Linked DNA regions of Callithrix jacchus. The protein of the gene in region 3 interacts with the protein of the main gene of each other region in a pairwise test. Links are inferred from orthologs where the notes say so. Each region holds a gene or a part of one and is shown on either strand. Other genes may lie near its edges.

Region 1 (3,562 bases), on a different chromosome or scaffold from region 3:
GAGTTGGTGGCTCTTCAGGCTCGGCTGGGGTGGCCCCCGCAGACTTCACAGCAGCAGCTTTGTTAGTGGGGAAGGAAGGAGGAGGGTGCATATTCTTCACGTTCCGGTCATGCACTCGGTCACGAGTCTGGCCGTGCCTAAATGGGTGAGGAGCAAAGAGAAGAGGATAAATCTCAGTTCAACTAGGGAACTGAAATAATAATGTAATAATAATAATAACACACACTGCAAACCAGAAATTAACTTGTGAGGTGAGAGTTTTCGTTACCTTGAGTGAGCTATCCAAGTGAGTCCTATGGAAAATCAAACAATAAAAAAAGTTAGCTCAGTGAAGAAATAAGCTTTCCAAAGACAGTGCCCTGGGATTTCAACCTACTACATACAAGTATGCCATTCACAGTGCCCAACTTTCCCAGTCTTATATAAACTTCAGGCTGGAAGGTTTCTAATTTGGTACAGTATATCTCAAGAGTGAACGGGTGGGGCCAGGTAGGCATGCTCCTGACGCATACAGTACGTCCTGTATCTTTTTTCCTCCTCTTGCTCAGCTAATTCCCATCCCTCCTACATACCCCGTGGCAGGATGCTGCTGGATCTGTGAGAGGGGTTGAATACCAAATGCTTGGCCATAGCATCGCCCACAGAGGTAACAAAGGCACACGAAGTGCAGGCCAGCTTGGTTCCACTAAAAGAGAGAATCAAGAATATATAAGATAAATACAGCAGTGACACTTGAGACCATTAAGCTTTGAGGCTTAAGAAAAGGAATGCCCTCCCAAATTTCTCTTTTTTCTAAAATTAATTCACATAACCACCTCCCCAAATAATGAAAAGAATTTCATGTAAAAACCTGAAAAATTTAAAAAAAAAAGGGAAAACAAAACAAAACAACAACAAAAAACCCTGAAAAATTAAGATGTTTCCAGTAAGTTTTTTCTTACCTCACAGAATTTTTAAACAAAGCCAAATACTTGGGGCTTTTCCGTGGAACATGATTGCTGAGAAAGACAAAGAAGTGGTTTGAGTTATAGAGCGCTGCTGGCTAAGCTAGAGATCACCAGCCAGTGACAACGCCCCCAACAAGAGACCCTTCTTCAGTGCATCCTATTCTCAACCTAAGCCAGTTTTCCTGTCACTGTGCTTCTTAAACTTCAATGTGCATACAAATCACCTGAGGATCTATTATAATTCACATCCTGATTCAGTAGACTTAGGGTGGGGCTGAGAGTCAGAATTTCTTTTTTTTTTTTTGAGACGGAGTTTCGCTCTTGTTACCCAGGCTGGAGTGCAATGGCGCGATCTCGGCTCACCGCAGCCTCCGCCTCCTGGGTTCAGGTAATTCTCCTGCCTCAGCCTCCTGAGTAGCTGGGATTACAGGCACGCACCACCATGCCCAGCTAATTTTTTGTATTTTTAGTAGAGACGGGGTTTCACCATGTTGACCAGGATGGTCTCGATCTCTTGACCTTGTGATCCACCCGCCTCGGCCTCCCAAAGTTCTGGGATTACAGGCTTGAGCCACCGTGCCTGGCCCGAGTCAGCATTTCTAACAAGCTCCCACCTAATACTGCTGGTCCTTGAGTAGCAAGGTCCTGTGAAATTAGAGCACAGACCATCAAAACCAAAAAATAAAGCCACTCACTCTGCTAGGAGAGAAGAACAAATAGCTCTAAGAGTTGAAGGAGGAAACATTAGGAACAGGGAAGAAAATGAAATGAGTGCTCAAGAATCTGGCCAGGGCCAGGCACGGTGGCTCCTCGAGCACTTTGGGAGGCCACGGCGGGTGGATCACCTCAGCTCAGGGGTTTGAGACAAGCCTGGCCAACTTGGTGAAATCCCGTCTCTACTAAAAATGCAAAAAAAAATTAAGCCAGGTGTGGTGGTGCACACCTGTAATCCCAGCTACTAGGGAGGCTGAGACAGGAGAATCAGTTGAACCCAGGAGGCAGAGGTTGCAGTGAGCCGAGATTGTGCCACTGCACTCCAGCCTGGGAAGAGAACAAGACCCTGTCTCTAACCAAAAAAAAAAAAAAAAAAAAAAAAAAGAATCTGAACTTTTTTTTTTTTTTTGAGACAGAGTTTTACTCTTGTTACCCAGCCTGGAGTGCAATGGCATGATCTTGGCTCACTGCAACCTCTGCCTCCTGGGTTCAAGCAATTCTCCTGCCTCAGCCTCCCGAGTAGCCAGATTACAGGCACGCGCCACCATGCCCAGCTAATTTTTTTGTATTTTTAGTAGAGACGGTGTTTCACGTTGTTGACCAGGATGGTCTCGATCTCTTGACCTCGTGATCCACCCGCGTCGGCCTCTCAAAGTGCTGGGATTATAGGCGTGAGAAGAATCTGAACTCTCAAGCTGAAACATTGGTTGAAACAACTTACTTGATCATGTGGTTGGCATAAGCTCGAGAGCAGCAGGTGCTATAGCGACACAGAGAGCAGTGCACATAAGTAGGGAAATGATTAGGGAAGTCTGGAATCTCGAAGCTGCACTCCAGGCATGTCTGCCGGCCCATGACACTCCTGTAGGGAAGAAAAGGAGAATTCTCATTACTGCCTCAGGGTTCCCCAAAATGTAGGATTTTCAGACAAGAAATTCTGCTAAAAAGCTACCAGATCGCATTGTGTATCAGGAATAATTCTGCCCACCCAGCCCCCCACCGCCCAGCACTTAGAAGAAGGCGCTGACATTTTCCTAACAGCTCTCTTCTGGATGCTGCGCTGGACAGGGGGATAAAGGAAGACAGGCAGAGGGTCCGTTGAGGAGGCCAGTGGTGCTGCCTCCTGCAAGGCGCTGGGAGGTGTATCATTAGAGGATACAGGAACAGTTCGTGGCTGCCCTCGGGAAGCCCGGATTGTCACCTGAGAGTCAAGGGAAGGAACAATGAGATATCACCCACACTAAATTTCAGAATACTGAAAATCTCTATTCCTCCCTCCCTAAGCCTATAAAAGACACTGGCAAACCCTTTACCTTGGTGCCTGGTTTCAAGCCCTCCAGCTGCTTGGGTTTACGGAAGGTTTTATGGTGTTGAAGCTTGTGTTCAATTTTGTCCTTGGCAAAGAGAAACTGCAGCCGGCATTTGTTGCAGTGATAAACGTTTCTCTTCTGAAGTGGGGGAGGGGAGGTAAAAAGAGACAAAAATCCCTTAAAGGTTCCTAATAAATCTTCTTTGAGAAGTAAGCAGATAAATGCCAACCACATCATTCTTCCCCGCTTTCTGTTAATAATAAGAGAGTAAGAAAGAAATACACAACATGACCACAAAACCTACCACTGAGAATCATCACCTCCCATGATCCCAAAGAAAGATGGATTCCAGGCCCGGATGACCAAGTTCTCAAACCATCCTTTCCTGACTTATTTTAGCAATCTGAATGAGTGATGTAACCTCTATTTGTATAATATCTTTACACTGCTGACAATTAGACATTCTCCTGGACATTCTTCTTTTTTTAAAGAAAGATAACGTACACAGTAAATAAAAGTCAAACGTTTTTTTCTGTACTCTTCCAAGTTTGCCTTCAACTCTGACACTCAGTCCCTTTCCACAGAAACAAC
Region 2 (3,562 bases), on a different chromosome or scaffold from region 3:
GTTGGCAGCTGGGGTCAAGTGGGAGGGCTTGTTGTCCCCCAAACGCAGGTCCCTGCTTCCCTGGATGTGGCCCAAAGCAGCTGTTTCCCAACCCGCCCCCAGCACTGGAGCAAGCAGGTAGAAGTGTGCACAGTCAGGAAGGTCTGTGGGTACAGGGGTCAGCACCTCGTACCCAGTACCCAGTCCTGGCCTGCCTGAGCCTGGCCCTGGGCAGAAGATTCCATGGTCTGAGTTATGGCCCCCGGCCCTGGGTCCCAGGCACTGTGTCTCATGGGCCACTGCTTCTTGAGCTGGCTTCGGCCATCCTTCCCTGGTAAGCTCATGTCATCCCCTGGCCTTTGGGAGCCTGCACCCAAGCCCCAGAACACTGTGCTTTTCTCACCTCCAAGGAAGCCTGGCTTTGGGTGGGAGGGTCCCGAGAGACCAAGAGGGGGTACCTGGCAGTTAAATATGGAGTGGCCCATTGTGGGTGGAGTCTGGGGCCAGCCACCTGCTTGTGCCCCAGTTTCTCTATCTCTTTTTTTTTTTTTTGAGACAGAGTCTTGCTCTGTTGCCCAGGCTGGAGTATAGTGGTGCCATCTTGGCTCACTGCAACCTCCGCCTCCCAGGTTCAAGCGATCCTTCTGCCTCAGCCTCCCAAGTAGCTGGGATTATAGGCGCCTGCCACTGTGCCTGGCTAATTTTTGTATTTTTTTTTTTAGTAGAGATGGGGTTTTGCCATTTTGGGCAGGCTGGTCTTGAACTCCTGACCTCAGGTCATCCTCCCTCCTCAGCCTCCCAAAGTGTCATGATTACAGGCGTGAGCCACCACGCCCAGCCCAGTTTCCCCATCTCTATGGGTAGTGACAGTCTCAGCTTGATTCCAAGGGGTAGCCCCATGGAGTGCCGGGCTGGGCAGTGTTCGCTGGGGTCCTGGCCCCTGGCCCATGCAGTAACTCGACTGTTCTGCATCCTCCAGGCTGTCCTCCCCAAGATCCCCAGCCAGGCCCCAAAGGACCCCATGCTGGGCTTACCGAGGCAATGTCGATCCCCATTGATGGCTGGCCGGGGTTCTCTGGGGGGGACTGGGGGAGAGAGGATGGTACCGTGACTGCGAGCGGGGGTGGCTGTGGCCCACGAGTCAGGCTGGCGCTGGGCAACAGGGGGCCACCGGGGGGCAGGCGGACGGATGCCTGCGGGGGTGGTGGGGGTGGCGGCTGCTGGGACGCTGGCGGAGGGGGCGGCGGGGGCTGGGGCTGTGGCGGTGGCTGCTGGGAGCCCGCCTGGGTGAAGAAGGCATAGGGCAGCTGCTGCTCCAGAGACAGGGCATCCATGGCCACGGCCTGTGGGAGAGATGGGCATCAGGCGGGGCGGGCCCTGGCTGCCAATGCCTGTTCCCCTCGGGCCCCCACAGCCTGGCATGCTCAGCAGGCGGGTGGAGGGGCCCTGTGATCATAGGTAGCCCCTGGGCTGGGTGCTCCTCATGATGAGGGAGGCCAGGCTAGAGAGGTGGGCCTCACCCAGGGCCCCAGGGGGTCAGCTGGAGCTGGACAGGCCTGAGCTCCTGCAGTTCCTTGCACTTACATCCCCACTACATGCCACGAAGCTCAGGCAAGACACGGGATGGCCACACCTGCTGGCTCAGTGAGCGGCCAGTTCTCAGCCCCTGTGGGTGCTGTCGGGAGACCTCAAGTGATCCACCTGCCTTGGTTTCCAAACCCTCCCCCCTGCCCGAAGCCTTGCCTGCTCTGAGGATACTGGAGACACCAGCCTGGCCCTCACCAAGGGCTGGCTCAGGGCCTTCTCAGAGATGGAAAGAGTAAAATCAGTGGGAGGGAAGTGTGTGACATTCGCTGAGTCTGTGGAAACTCAGCCAGGGGCTACCATGCTGACAGTCCTTGGGGAAGGTGGGGGTTCCTGCCCTCTAAGAAAGGCTGAGCGTGCCCAGGAACTATGGGACAGAAACCACTCAGCAAGATGCCCAGCCTCTGAGAAGAGAAAGGAGGTTCCAGATAGAGAAAGGGGCAGGTGTCAGATTGAAACAGCCTAGCTCACGAAGAGGCTGAAGACACAGCTGCCAGGAGCCAGCGCCCACAGATCTGTCTGGGTCTTGATCTGAATAAGACAATTTTGTAAGCAGACAGAAGATGGGGGCTGAGGGGCAGGGAGAAATGGAGTCCAGGCCAGGCATTGCCAGGGAACTACCATTAACTTCGTTGTAGGTGGACGGTGCCACTGTGGTTATGTTAAAAACAGACAAGTGGTGGGCGCGGTGGCTCACATCTGCAATCCCAGCACTTCGGGATGCTGAGGCGGGGGATCACTTGAGGTCAGGAGTTCGAGACCAGCCTGGCCAACATGGCAAAACCCCATCTCTACTAAAAATACAAAACTTAGCTGGGTGAGGTAGGCACACGCCTGTCATCCCAGCTACTCAGGAGGCTGGCACAAGAATCGACTGAACCCAGGAGGCGGAGGCTGCAGTAAAGTCAAGAGCACGCTGCTGCACTCCAGCCTGGGCAAGAGTGAGACTGTCTCAAAAACAGTAATAAAACAAAAATTAAAAATGGCTGGGTGCAGTGGCTCAGGCCTGTAATCCCAGCACTTTGGGAGGTCGAGGTGGGCAGATCACGGTCAGGAGATCAAGACCATCCTGGCTCATATGGTGAAACCCGTCTCTACTAAAAATAACAAAGTATTAGCCAGGCATGGTGGCGCGCACCTATAGTCCCAGCTACTTGGGAGGCCGAGGCAAAAGAATCGCCGAGATCGTACCACTGCACTCCAGCCTGAGTGACAGAGTGAGACTCCGTCTCAAAAATAAAATAAAATAAAACAATATTTAAGACATAATGTTCTCTGTTAGAGTTTTTTGTTTTGTTTTTAAAAAGACAAAACGGATAAATTTCTAGAAATGCACAAATGACCAAAAGTGACTCAAGGAAGAACAGAAAACCTGAATAGCCTTATAAGAAGTAAGAAGAAATTGCAAATTTCCCAACAGATTTGAGCTAAGATGCAGGTGGCTGCACTGGTGATTTTACCAAACTCTTTTTTTTGAGATGGAGTTTCGCTCGTTACCCAGGCTGGAGTGCAATGGCTCACTGCAACCTCCGCCTCCTGGGTTCAGGCAATTCTCCTGCCTCAGCCTCCCGAGTAGCTGGGATTACAGGCACACGCCACCATGCCCAGCTAATTTTTTGTATTTTTAGTAGAGACGGGGTTTCACCATGTTGACCAGGATGGTCTCGATCTCTTGACCTCATGATCCACCCACCTCGGCCTCCCAAAGTGCTGGGATTACAGGCGTGAGCCACCACGCCCAGCCTTTTCTTTTCTTTTTTTAAGACATGGGGTCTCACTGCATTGCCCAGGCTGGACTCAAACACCTGGCTCATGCAATCTTCCCACTTCAGCCTCCCAAGTACCTGGGACTACAGGAATTTATCATTATGCCCACTTAATTCTACCAAACATTTAAAGAGGAATTAAAAATGCTTCTGAAAAACGAAGGAGAAATGAACATTCCTAACTCACTCTATGAAGCCGCACTGATGAGGCAACAAAGAGGGAGTCTCAATTG
Region 3 (4,259 bases):
TAAATAAATAAATAAATAAATAAATAAATGAAAATATCTCTTGGGCAAGACTAAAGAAAGAACATATCAGTAAACAATTTTTTGTGGTTTTTTTTTCTTTTTTTGAGATGGAGTCTCACTCGGTCACCCAGGCTGAAGTGCAGTGGAACGATCTTGGCTCACTACAACCTCTGCCTCCTGGGTTCAAGCAATTCTCCTGCCTCAGCTTCCCGAGTAGCTGGAATTATAGGCGCGAGCCACCACACCCGGCTAATTTTTTTTTTTTTTAGTAGAGACTAGATTCACCATGTTGGTCAGGCTGGTCTCCAACGCCTGACCTCAAGTCATCCGCCCACCCAGGCCCCCCAAAATGCTGGGATTACAGGCATAAGTCGCTGCGCCCGGCGTATATTACTATTTTTGAGACGGAGTTTCGCTCTTGTTGCCCAGGCTGGAGTGCAATGGTGTGATTTTGGCTCACCCTCACCTCTGCCTCCCGGGTTCAAGCGATTGTCCTGCCCCAGTCTCACGAGTAGCTAGGATTACAGGCATGCGCCACCACGCCCGGCTAATTTTGTATTTTTGGTAGAGACGGGGTTTCTCCATGGTCAGGTTGGTCTCGAACTCCTGACCTTAGGTGATCCGCCCGCCTTGGCCTCCCAAAGTGCTGGGATTACAGACAGGCATGAGCCACCGCGTATAAGCTTAACAAGAAAAAAAATTCTACTCAACTGATGGTGGCTTGCAGAACATCATTAAGGAAAAACAGTAACCTACCATTATCAATACTGTAATAATTTTCTCAGCGATTGGAAGTAAAATCATTTTCCCAATATTTATAGAGAACCTCTCTTTACTGTATCTTATTTTCTTGGCAATGACAAATTGATAATGTGGTCTTTTTTAAAGAGAAGCAATACAGCAAAGCAGGTTTTGGAAAAGTGACTTACATAGAGAAAAATAAGACACTGTTTCTACTGCTAATTAATATTTGTTCCTAACCAGAAGCCTTGTGTGTATCAATCACAATGCAACCATACAGTGACAGACAAATACTTTTAAAACAAACTTGTTCATCTTTTGCACCACCTAAAATAACTGCTTGGGGCTTGACTTTTAAATCAGGAAATGAGCCATAAATATAAAAGATTTCAAGAGGCAGCAATCAAAAGTATCTTCCACTAAACCTTTAGAAGGCAGTCGTAAGCCGAGGTTAGAATTATAACTTGGGATGGCATTACAAACTTAAATAGGTCATACGACATGTCCTTTAAAAATTGTCTTTTAATTTTTAAATGACTTTTCTGCTGTCCTTTTTTCCCAACAGGCAAAGAAAAAATACAGCTTGTGGCTTAAATTCTCAGTCTCAAGACCGGGGTTACCTACTGCATGAGAGACAAATAATGGATACTTAAAAGTCTATTTTTAGAATTAGTATTCCGTCTCTCATTAAAGTTCACACAGAAATTTGTGGGAAATATGGTAGGGGGGTGGGACTGAGGGTGTAGGGAGAGTCAGATGACCCAAAACGCGGTTGACAAGGCTGCACCCCGCGAAATGATGTAAAACAAGAGTACGTCCGCTGATACTCGTTTCAACGAAGTGTTTCAAAGTGATAATTACCTTATTGAAAAGGGTTAAAACCGAAACTGTTTTCAAACACCAGCTTCCCTTTTATAAGATTCCAACAGTTCTTTAAAGTTACTACAAATGTTTTTTTTTAGCACCCTTTCTCCCAAAAAGCATGCATTTCTATGACTACAGGATTAATTAAAAAAAAAAAAAAAAAGGCAAGGGGGTGAGGGAGTCAAAAATTCCCCCCAGGCACAAGCCCTCATCTCTCAACTAAGCAACACAGGGCAGAAAGCAGCATTTCCTCAACGGTGTGGGAGCGGGAGGGAAAGGGCATGAATAAAATACAGCACGAGAGGAAACCTTGGGTTTCGAACTTTATTGCACAAAGAGTGGAGAGAAGAGTAGGTCAGACGTTGCAGCTCTTCCCCTTGCGAAGCGGGCATGGCAGACAGCGAGGCCACCGGGAAGGCAGCAGGCACCTTCACCTCCTCTGCCCTCAACTGTCGCCTTCTTCCTCCTCCACCCCCACTGGCACCCAGGCGGCGGCTGCCCCGGAGGCCGGGCCGGGTCGGGTCGGGGGCGAGGCGGGCGGCGGGGGCCGGATGAGCGAGCTGCGCTGGGGGCAACTCAGGGCCGAGCAGGCGGCCTCCCCCGGGGCGGCTCCCGGATCCCGGCTCCCGGCTTCGCGCCCGGCCCGGCGGCGGCGGCGGGAACGCGGGCGCCAGCTCGCCGCGGCCGGCCGCCCGCACACACCCCCGGCCGCCGGCTCCCACCCCGCCCGCCGCCCGCCGCCCGCCGCCCCCCGCCATGAGCGCCGCCGCTGGCTGCAGGCAGAGTCGCTGCCGCCCCGGCCGCCGCTGGCTCCAGTCCGCCGCCATTATTCTTTGTTCGCTGCGAGCGGCGGCGATGTTGTGGGGCTCGGGCGGAGGCTCCATCTTTACCGCGGCCCCTCCTGCGAGGGGAAGGCCCCAAGCGCGGGTGTCCGGCGCCTCCCCGTCCCCCCTCCGTCCCCCCGGCTCTCTCTGGCTCCTGCCTCCTCCTCCTGCTCCTCTTACCGGTGGTACAAGCTCCTCCGTCACTGCTTTCGTTCACGGCCCGGATCTCGCTGGAGTTTTATTCTCTCCCCCACGTAACACACCGCGTCAAACTACACCTCCGCCGCGTCACTCACCAACACTCCGCTTCTCCCAGCCGCCCGGGCCACAGGCAGCAGCAGCCGCCGCCGACTGAGGAGCCGCAGCCAGGGAGCCAGCCAGCGCCGCCCAGTGCCGAGTGCGCAGCGGCCGCGCACGGAAACAGCCGAGCTCGGCCCGGAGGAGCTCGAGCGGCCCCACCCCCGCGCTGGGGACGGAACTTGCCGAAGGCCTTCGGGCTTCTTCGGGCGAGGCGAAGAGGTTGCGCCGGTAGAGGAAGGCGAAGACGGGTTGAGCCCCGCGCTGGGAGGGGTGGTCTAAACCGCTACGCTGCGTTCGAATCGATAAAGCCGGCGGCGGAAATTTGAAGGAGGAAACGGGGTTTGTGTGTGGCCCAGTGGGGAATTCCCGAGGGGTGTCAGCGACTTAGTGGAAACCCCCGCGCAGGCCTGCCTCTGCGGCGGTGAGCCGCGGGCTCTGCCCTTCAGCGCCTCCAGCCCCGGGAACTTTCCGACGCCGCCGGCAAGCGGGCGCAGCGCCGCTCCGGCTGGAACGCGGACGGACCGCGGGAGCCGTGCAGGCTGGGGAGGAAGGGCTGCTGCGCCTCTGCCAGCGTCCCAGGGCCTGGGGCTTGGGGTTCGGGGACGTCGTGGGACCCAGTGGGGACGAGTTTTCCTTTCGGAGACTCAGCGGAGAAACCCGGAGGCCTCCGGCGGGGCATGGTTTCCCGGGGGACGTTGGCTCGGATACCGTGGCACCTCTCGGGTTCTGCCCGGGCCTGCCTGGACCACTGGAAATATGCCCTATTCCACCTCCCCGCCTTTCTCCAGACAACATCCTGTGTCGCGTTCTTTCCTCAGCCTGTTTTCTACAGCAAGGGATTCGCACCCTCAGCACTGTGAACCCAGCAGGGGAACTTCCGTGGCTGGAAACTACTGAACTGCTCTCTTAGAGGTTGCCCAGGCCACACCACTAGGTCCCCATTCTCCTTGGTAGTAAACTCTGCAGCCCTCTCTCTGTCTCTGGGCTTTGAAGTCCTTTTTTTTTTTTTTTTTTTTTTTGAGACAGAGTCTCAATCTTGTTACCCAGGCTGGAGTGTAGTGTTATTATCTCGGCTCACTACAACCTCCGCCTCCCGGGTTCAAGCGATTCTCCTGCCTCAGTCTCCCAATTAGCTGGGATTACAGGCACCCGCCACCACGCCCAGCTAATTTTTGTATTTTTACTGGAGACAGGGTTTCACCATGTTGGCCAGGCTGGTCTGGAACTTCTGACCTCTGGTGATCCGCCCGACTCAGCCTCCCAAAGTGCTGGGATTACAGGCGTGAGCCACCCCTCCCTGCCTCCAGTCTTAATCATTCTTTTTCTAAAAGAGATGTGTCTTTAGGAAGCAGAGAGGGTTCAAATCCGGACTCCGCCCCTGACTCACTTCTTTTGTAATGAAAGAGTTATTCTTGGTACTCTAGGTCCCCTACTGTTTTCTTCTGGACTTTGCCCTTAACGAGCCTCCTTTCCTTCTGTTGCTCTCAATCTTTCCTTCTCTACCGGCTCTTTCATTTACACATGCTTAAG
Region 4 (4,210 bases), on a different chromosome or scaffold from region 3:
CCAGGTTCTAGAGCAGGGGAGAGAGAGGAGGTCTTGCCTGAGTTTTTCTCCATTGTGCCACGCAGGCAATGAGCAGCTCGACCTAAGAAAGAAGCAGGATAGCCTATCATACCACTCTTGTCAAACGGGGTGTGGCTCTGATTTTATCTTGGAGAGCCAGGCAATTAACTCCCTGGAGGGGGAGTGAAAAGTTCCTTGGGAGGAATGCTTTCCATAATCCCCTTCTGGCCTAAAGAGGCAGAAGCTGGAACCTGCATATCAAGCAAGGTTTGGAGCCTACTGGTTGGCCCTTTATGCCTTCCATACTTTTTTTTTTTTTTTTTTTTTGAGATGGAGTCACTCTGTCACCCAGGCTGGAGTGCAGTGGTACCATCTCAGCTCACTGCAACCCCCACTTCTTGGTTCAAGCGATTCTCTGCCTCAGCCTCCTGAGTAGCTGGGATTACAGATAGGCACCCACCACCACACCCAGCTAATTTTTGTATTTTTATTAGAGACAGGGTTTCACCATACTGGTCAGGCTGGTCTCGAACTCCTGATCTCGTGGTCCACCCACCTTGGCCTCCCAAAGTGTTAGGGATTACAGGCGTGAGCCTCCACACCTGCTGGCTCCATTCTATTATAGGGCAGGAGCTAGTGTGTGAAATGGCTCTGGTGTGGGAAGAGCCTTACCCCAGGGTTGGGAGGCCTAGGTTGGGTGACCTAGGATGGATATTCACCCCTCCCTGTGGGTCATCCCTGAGGCCTCAGCCCTCCTGCAGTAGCCAGTACCTTGCACTCCTGGGAGACGGTGAGGTTAGGTGGGAAAGTGACCTCCTTCTGAGTCTCTCTCAGCAGCTTTTTGAGATTGGTGTCGTCAAAGGGCAGATGAGCAACCACTAGAGTGTAAAGGATGACGCCCATGCTCCAGGTGTCAGACAGGAAAGGGTTGTAGGGCAAACCTAGTAAGATCTCTGGGCAGGCATAAGCAAAGCTGCCACAGTAAGTCTGGCTAAGGTGGGAAAAGCAGTTCACTTGGCGGTAAGAAGCGCTATGACCCACATGGTTGTTAGAAGGCACCATCTTGGCAAAGCCAAAGTCCGATATCTTCACACTCTCCCACTTGTCCAGCAACAGGTTCTCCAACTTTAAGTCCCTACCAGCAGCAGAAAGGCTGGGCGTCAGGCTGGGGAGAGGGCTTAGTTTTAGACTGGGAGCTGAAGGGCCAGGGGTCAGAGGGTAAGGAGAGTCCAAAGTGAGGAGAGAGAGAGGATCGTATCTGAAGACCACTGGGAGCTCACCATCGTATTTCATAAAATGCTCTCCAGGATGGGCGTGGTGGCTCATGCCTGTAATCCCAGCACTTTGGGAGGCCCAGGCAGGCGGATCACGAGATCAGGAGTTCAAGACCAGCCTGATCAACACGGTGAAACCCCATCTCTACTAAAAATATAGACATTAGCTGGGCATGATGGCATGCGGCTGTAACCCCAGCTACTTAAGAGGCTGAGGCAAGAGAATTGCTTGAACCCAGGAGGCGGAGGTTGTGGTGAGCTGAGATCACACCAGCATGGGGGCGACAGAGCAAGTCTCCATCTCGAAAAAAACAAAAGCTCTCCATAGAGTGAGTACTTTATTAGTATCCTTAACCACATGATTATAATAGAGTGCATGAATAGGCCTAGATATTAAGGAGGGAGTTTGAGAGAGGAAAAAAGGGAAGGAAATGAGAGATGTGCATAAAACCCCCTTGAGAGCAAAGGCCCCAGTCTGGGTGGCAGCGACCTCACCGGTGCACGATGCCCTTGCTGTGCAGGTAGGCAATGCCCAGGGTCAGCTGGGAGAACCACTTGCCAGCAAGGGGCTCAGAGCAGGCCCCGTAGCGCTGGATCCGTTCAAGGACGTCACCACCCTGAGCCAGCTCCAGAATGATGTATACTCGAGATGTGGTCTCAATGGCCTGATAGAAGTTGATGAGGTACTTGTGCCGCAAGACTTTCATTACCTGACCCCAGAATAAAGACCCATCAAACCTGGGAAGGGAGAACCCTGACTCCATTCCCAGCCATCTCCTACCCTTAGCTACTTACTTAGAACTTTGCAAAAGGATCAACCCCTGAACCCCAGAGAACTAGTGGCCTGTGGGCAAACCCTATGTTTTACACTTTTACTTTTTGTGGGGCTAGAGGTGAGTGGGTGGATGGGAAAGAGGTTTAATTTACATAAATCTTCCTAGCTGCTTAGTGAGACATTCAGTTCTGGTTTAGGGGTTTCTGGCCCCACCCCTCCTGGCCATACCCCTTCTGAGAAACCTCAAGCAGCTTAGTACCAAGCTTCAGTTCCCTCTTCCAGCCCCCTTTCTAACCTGTATCTCACGGGTCATGAACTTGTTAAGATAGTCATCAGAGGCCTTTTTCTTTGAGATGATCTTGACTGCCACCATGATCTTCTGCTTTGTGTAGAAAGCCTCATATACTGTCCCATAGGAGCCATTGCCAATGACCTTGCCCAGCTCATAACCATATTCATCCATGATGGAGTGGTAGGCTGTGGCTGTGGTGGTTGGTGCTGCCTCTGAGACATCTCCCTTCCCCATGGTGTTGGGTTTGCTAAGAGCAGGGAGCTTTACTACTTGGAAGCCTCCTATTCAAAGCCAACACCTTGAGCCGCTGAAGGCTAGGGTATCAAAGTGAAATAGGTCTCCAAATGCTTGCCTATATAGTCACACGAGTCTGGGATGCTTGGCTCAGCCCTCCACTAGGAACTTGGAGGGGGAAAGAAAGAGAAGCAGTTTTTGTCTCTACTGGCTGTTGTTACTTCCTCCTTTTGGTTACGGAACTCCTCAAGGTCCCATGTTCCAAATACATCACAATCCACCTCCTATCCGTTTTTGGCCACAAAACTTAAGAATGAACTACAGTGTGAAACATACTCATTCCCAGAGGTATCTTCCAGTCTGGTGACACTCCTCCTAAAGATCAGCCCCATCATTAATATATGAGAACCGACTAAGTAACAGTGTGCTGAGTACTTGGATAAAATGTCACCCAAATGTCATGCCAGACCCTTCCTTCTTCCTCAATCCCTACATACAATCTATCATCAAATCCTGTCTCTGCTACCTCCTACTTATCTCTTTAATGATACACTCAAGACTTTCTGAGCCTACTGCAGCCCCTTAGTTCAATAAGGCCAATAGAGACACAATAATCCTAGAATTTATAATGCAGCATGAGAAATATGAGTGTGAAAGTATTATAATTGTAAGGTGTTGAACATGTTCTAGGAAAATCTAACCTTGAAATGCATGCTTATCATGACCCAGAACTCTCTAGTTTTCCTCCACATCCTTCTGGTCATTCCTCAGCCTTCACTAAAGCTAAATCTTTCTCCATTCAATCCTGAATCATATCCCAAGTGTTCTATCATAAGTTTTATTTTCTCAAACCTTCACATCCTCCCTTAATGATCTTGTCCATACCCATGAAGTCAATACTACATTTATGCTGACTGCTCCTAATTTCATCTCCATCCCATGTGTCTCTGGAGTTTAGATAGAGCAGCCAATATTATATGGCCATGTCCGTCCCAGGCATGGAACTTACCATTATCTGCCTCGAACTTAGCCATATCAAAAATTGAACTTATTTTCTTCTTACAGACCTTTCTGTAAGTTGTACATTAATCACCCTTAATTTAGACACTCAAATGTCATCCCAAACCCTCCTGCCTCAGCCCCTACATACAATCTATCACCAAATCCTATCTCTTCTACCTCTTGATTATCTGTTTAATAATACTCGTATGGCTTTCTGAGCCCACTGCCACTTCCTTAGTTTACACCTCTATCAGTGAACAGATTGCCCCAGCCAGCCTTCTGCTCCCCTCCAGTCTGTCCATCCTTAAGACTAAAGCATAAATCTGATTTTATTTCCATTTGAAACAATTAAATACCTCCTCATTCTCCTCTGGATCAAGTCCATCCAAATTGTTTCATGCAGCTTTAAGTCTGATCCTGCTTGCCTCCCCAATTTTATTTTTTAACACACAAATATAGAAAAAAAATTTTTTTTTAACACACAAATACAGAAAAAAATTTTTTTTCTGTATTTGTTTGCCACCAATACAGAACAATATTTGTTTGCCACACATACAGAAAAGGAGTTGTTTGGTTTGCTTCATCCAAATAACTGCTTTTCTGTATTTGTGGCAAACTTGTACTCTTCTTGAG

What was found.
Region 1: the proteins of CREB1 (region 3) and POGZ interact in a two-hybrid assay, tested with the Homo sapiens proteins (2 studies listed by BioGRID and IntAct). The link is inferred for Callithrix jacchus from reciprocal best matches to the Homo sapiens genes CREB1 and POGZ.
Region 2: the proteins of CREB1 (region 3) and CRTC1 interact in binary tests that used the Homo sapiens proteins (3 or more experiments, as listed by UniProt). The link is inferred for Callithrix jacchus from reciprocal best matches to the Homo sapiens genes CREB1 and CRTC1.
Region 4: the proteins of CREB1 (region 3) and TSSK4 interact in binary tests that used the Homo sapiens proteins (3 or more experiments, as listed by UniProt). The link is inferred for Callithrix jacchus from reciprocal best matches to the Homo sapiens genes CREB1 and TSSK4.

The regions. Positions count from the first base shown.
Region 1 is NC_133519.1:11,309,080-11,312,641, forward strand, and holds part of POGZ (pogo transposable element with ZNF domain), read right to left. Parts: intron 3,110-3,562; coding exon 2,975-3,109; intron 2,863-2,974; coding exon 2,690-2,862; intron 2,524-2,689; coding exon 2,383-2,523; intron 999-2,382; coding exon 942-998; intron 686-941; coding exon 573-685; intron 294-572; coding exon 269-293; intron 138-268; coding exon 1-137. UniProt on the Homo sapiens protein: Plays a role in mitotic cell cycle progression and is involved in kinetochore assembly and mitotic sister chromatid cohesion.
Region 2 is NC_133523.1:17,472,682-17,476,243, reverse strand, and holds part of CRTC1 (CREB-regulated transcription coactivator 1), read right to left. Parts: intron 1,323-3,562; coding exon 1,014-1,322; intron 1-1,013. UniProt on the Homo sapiens protein: Transcriptional coactivator for CREB1 which activates transcription through both consensus and variant cAMP response element (CRE) sites.
Region 3 is NC_133507.1:128,985,457-128,989,715, reverse strand, and holds the start of CREB1 (cyclic AMP-responsive element-binding protein 1), read right to left. Parts: upstream 2,822-4,259; 5' UTR 2,726-2,821; exon of another isoform or gene 2,610-2,725; intron 1-2,609.
Region 4 is NC_133509.1:58,511,227-58,515,436, reverse strand, and holds the start of TSSK4 (testis-specific serine/threonine-protein kinase 4), read right to left. Parts: upstream 2,801-4,210; 5' UTR 2,576-2,800; coding exon 2,345-2,575; intron 1,985-2,344; coding exon 1,770-1,984; intron 1,166-1,769; coding exon 772-1,165; intron 83-771; coding exon of another isoform or gene 8-82; coding exon 1-7. UniProt on the Homo sapiens protein: Serine/threonine kinase which is involved in male germ cell development and in mature sperm function. May be involved in the Cre/Creb signaling pathway. Phosphorylates CREB1 on 'Ser-133' in vitro and can stimulate Cre/Creb pathway in cells.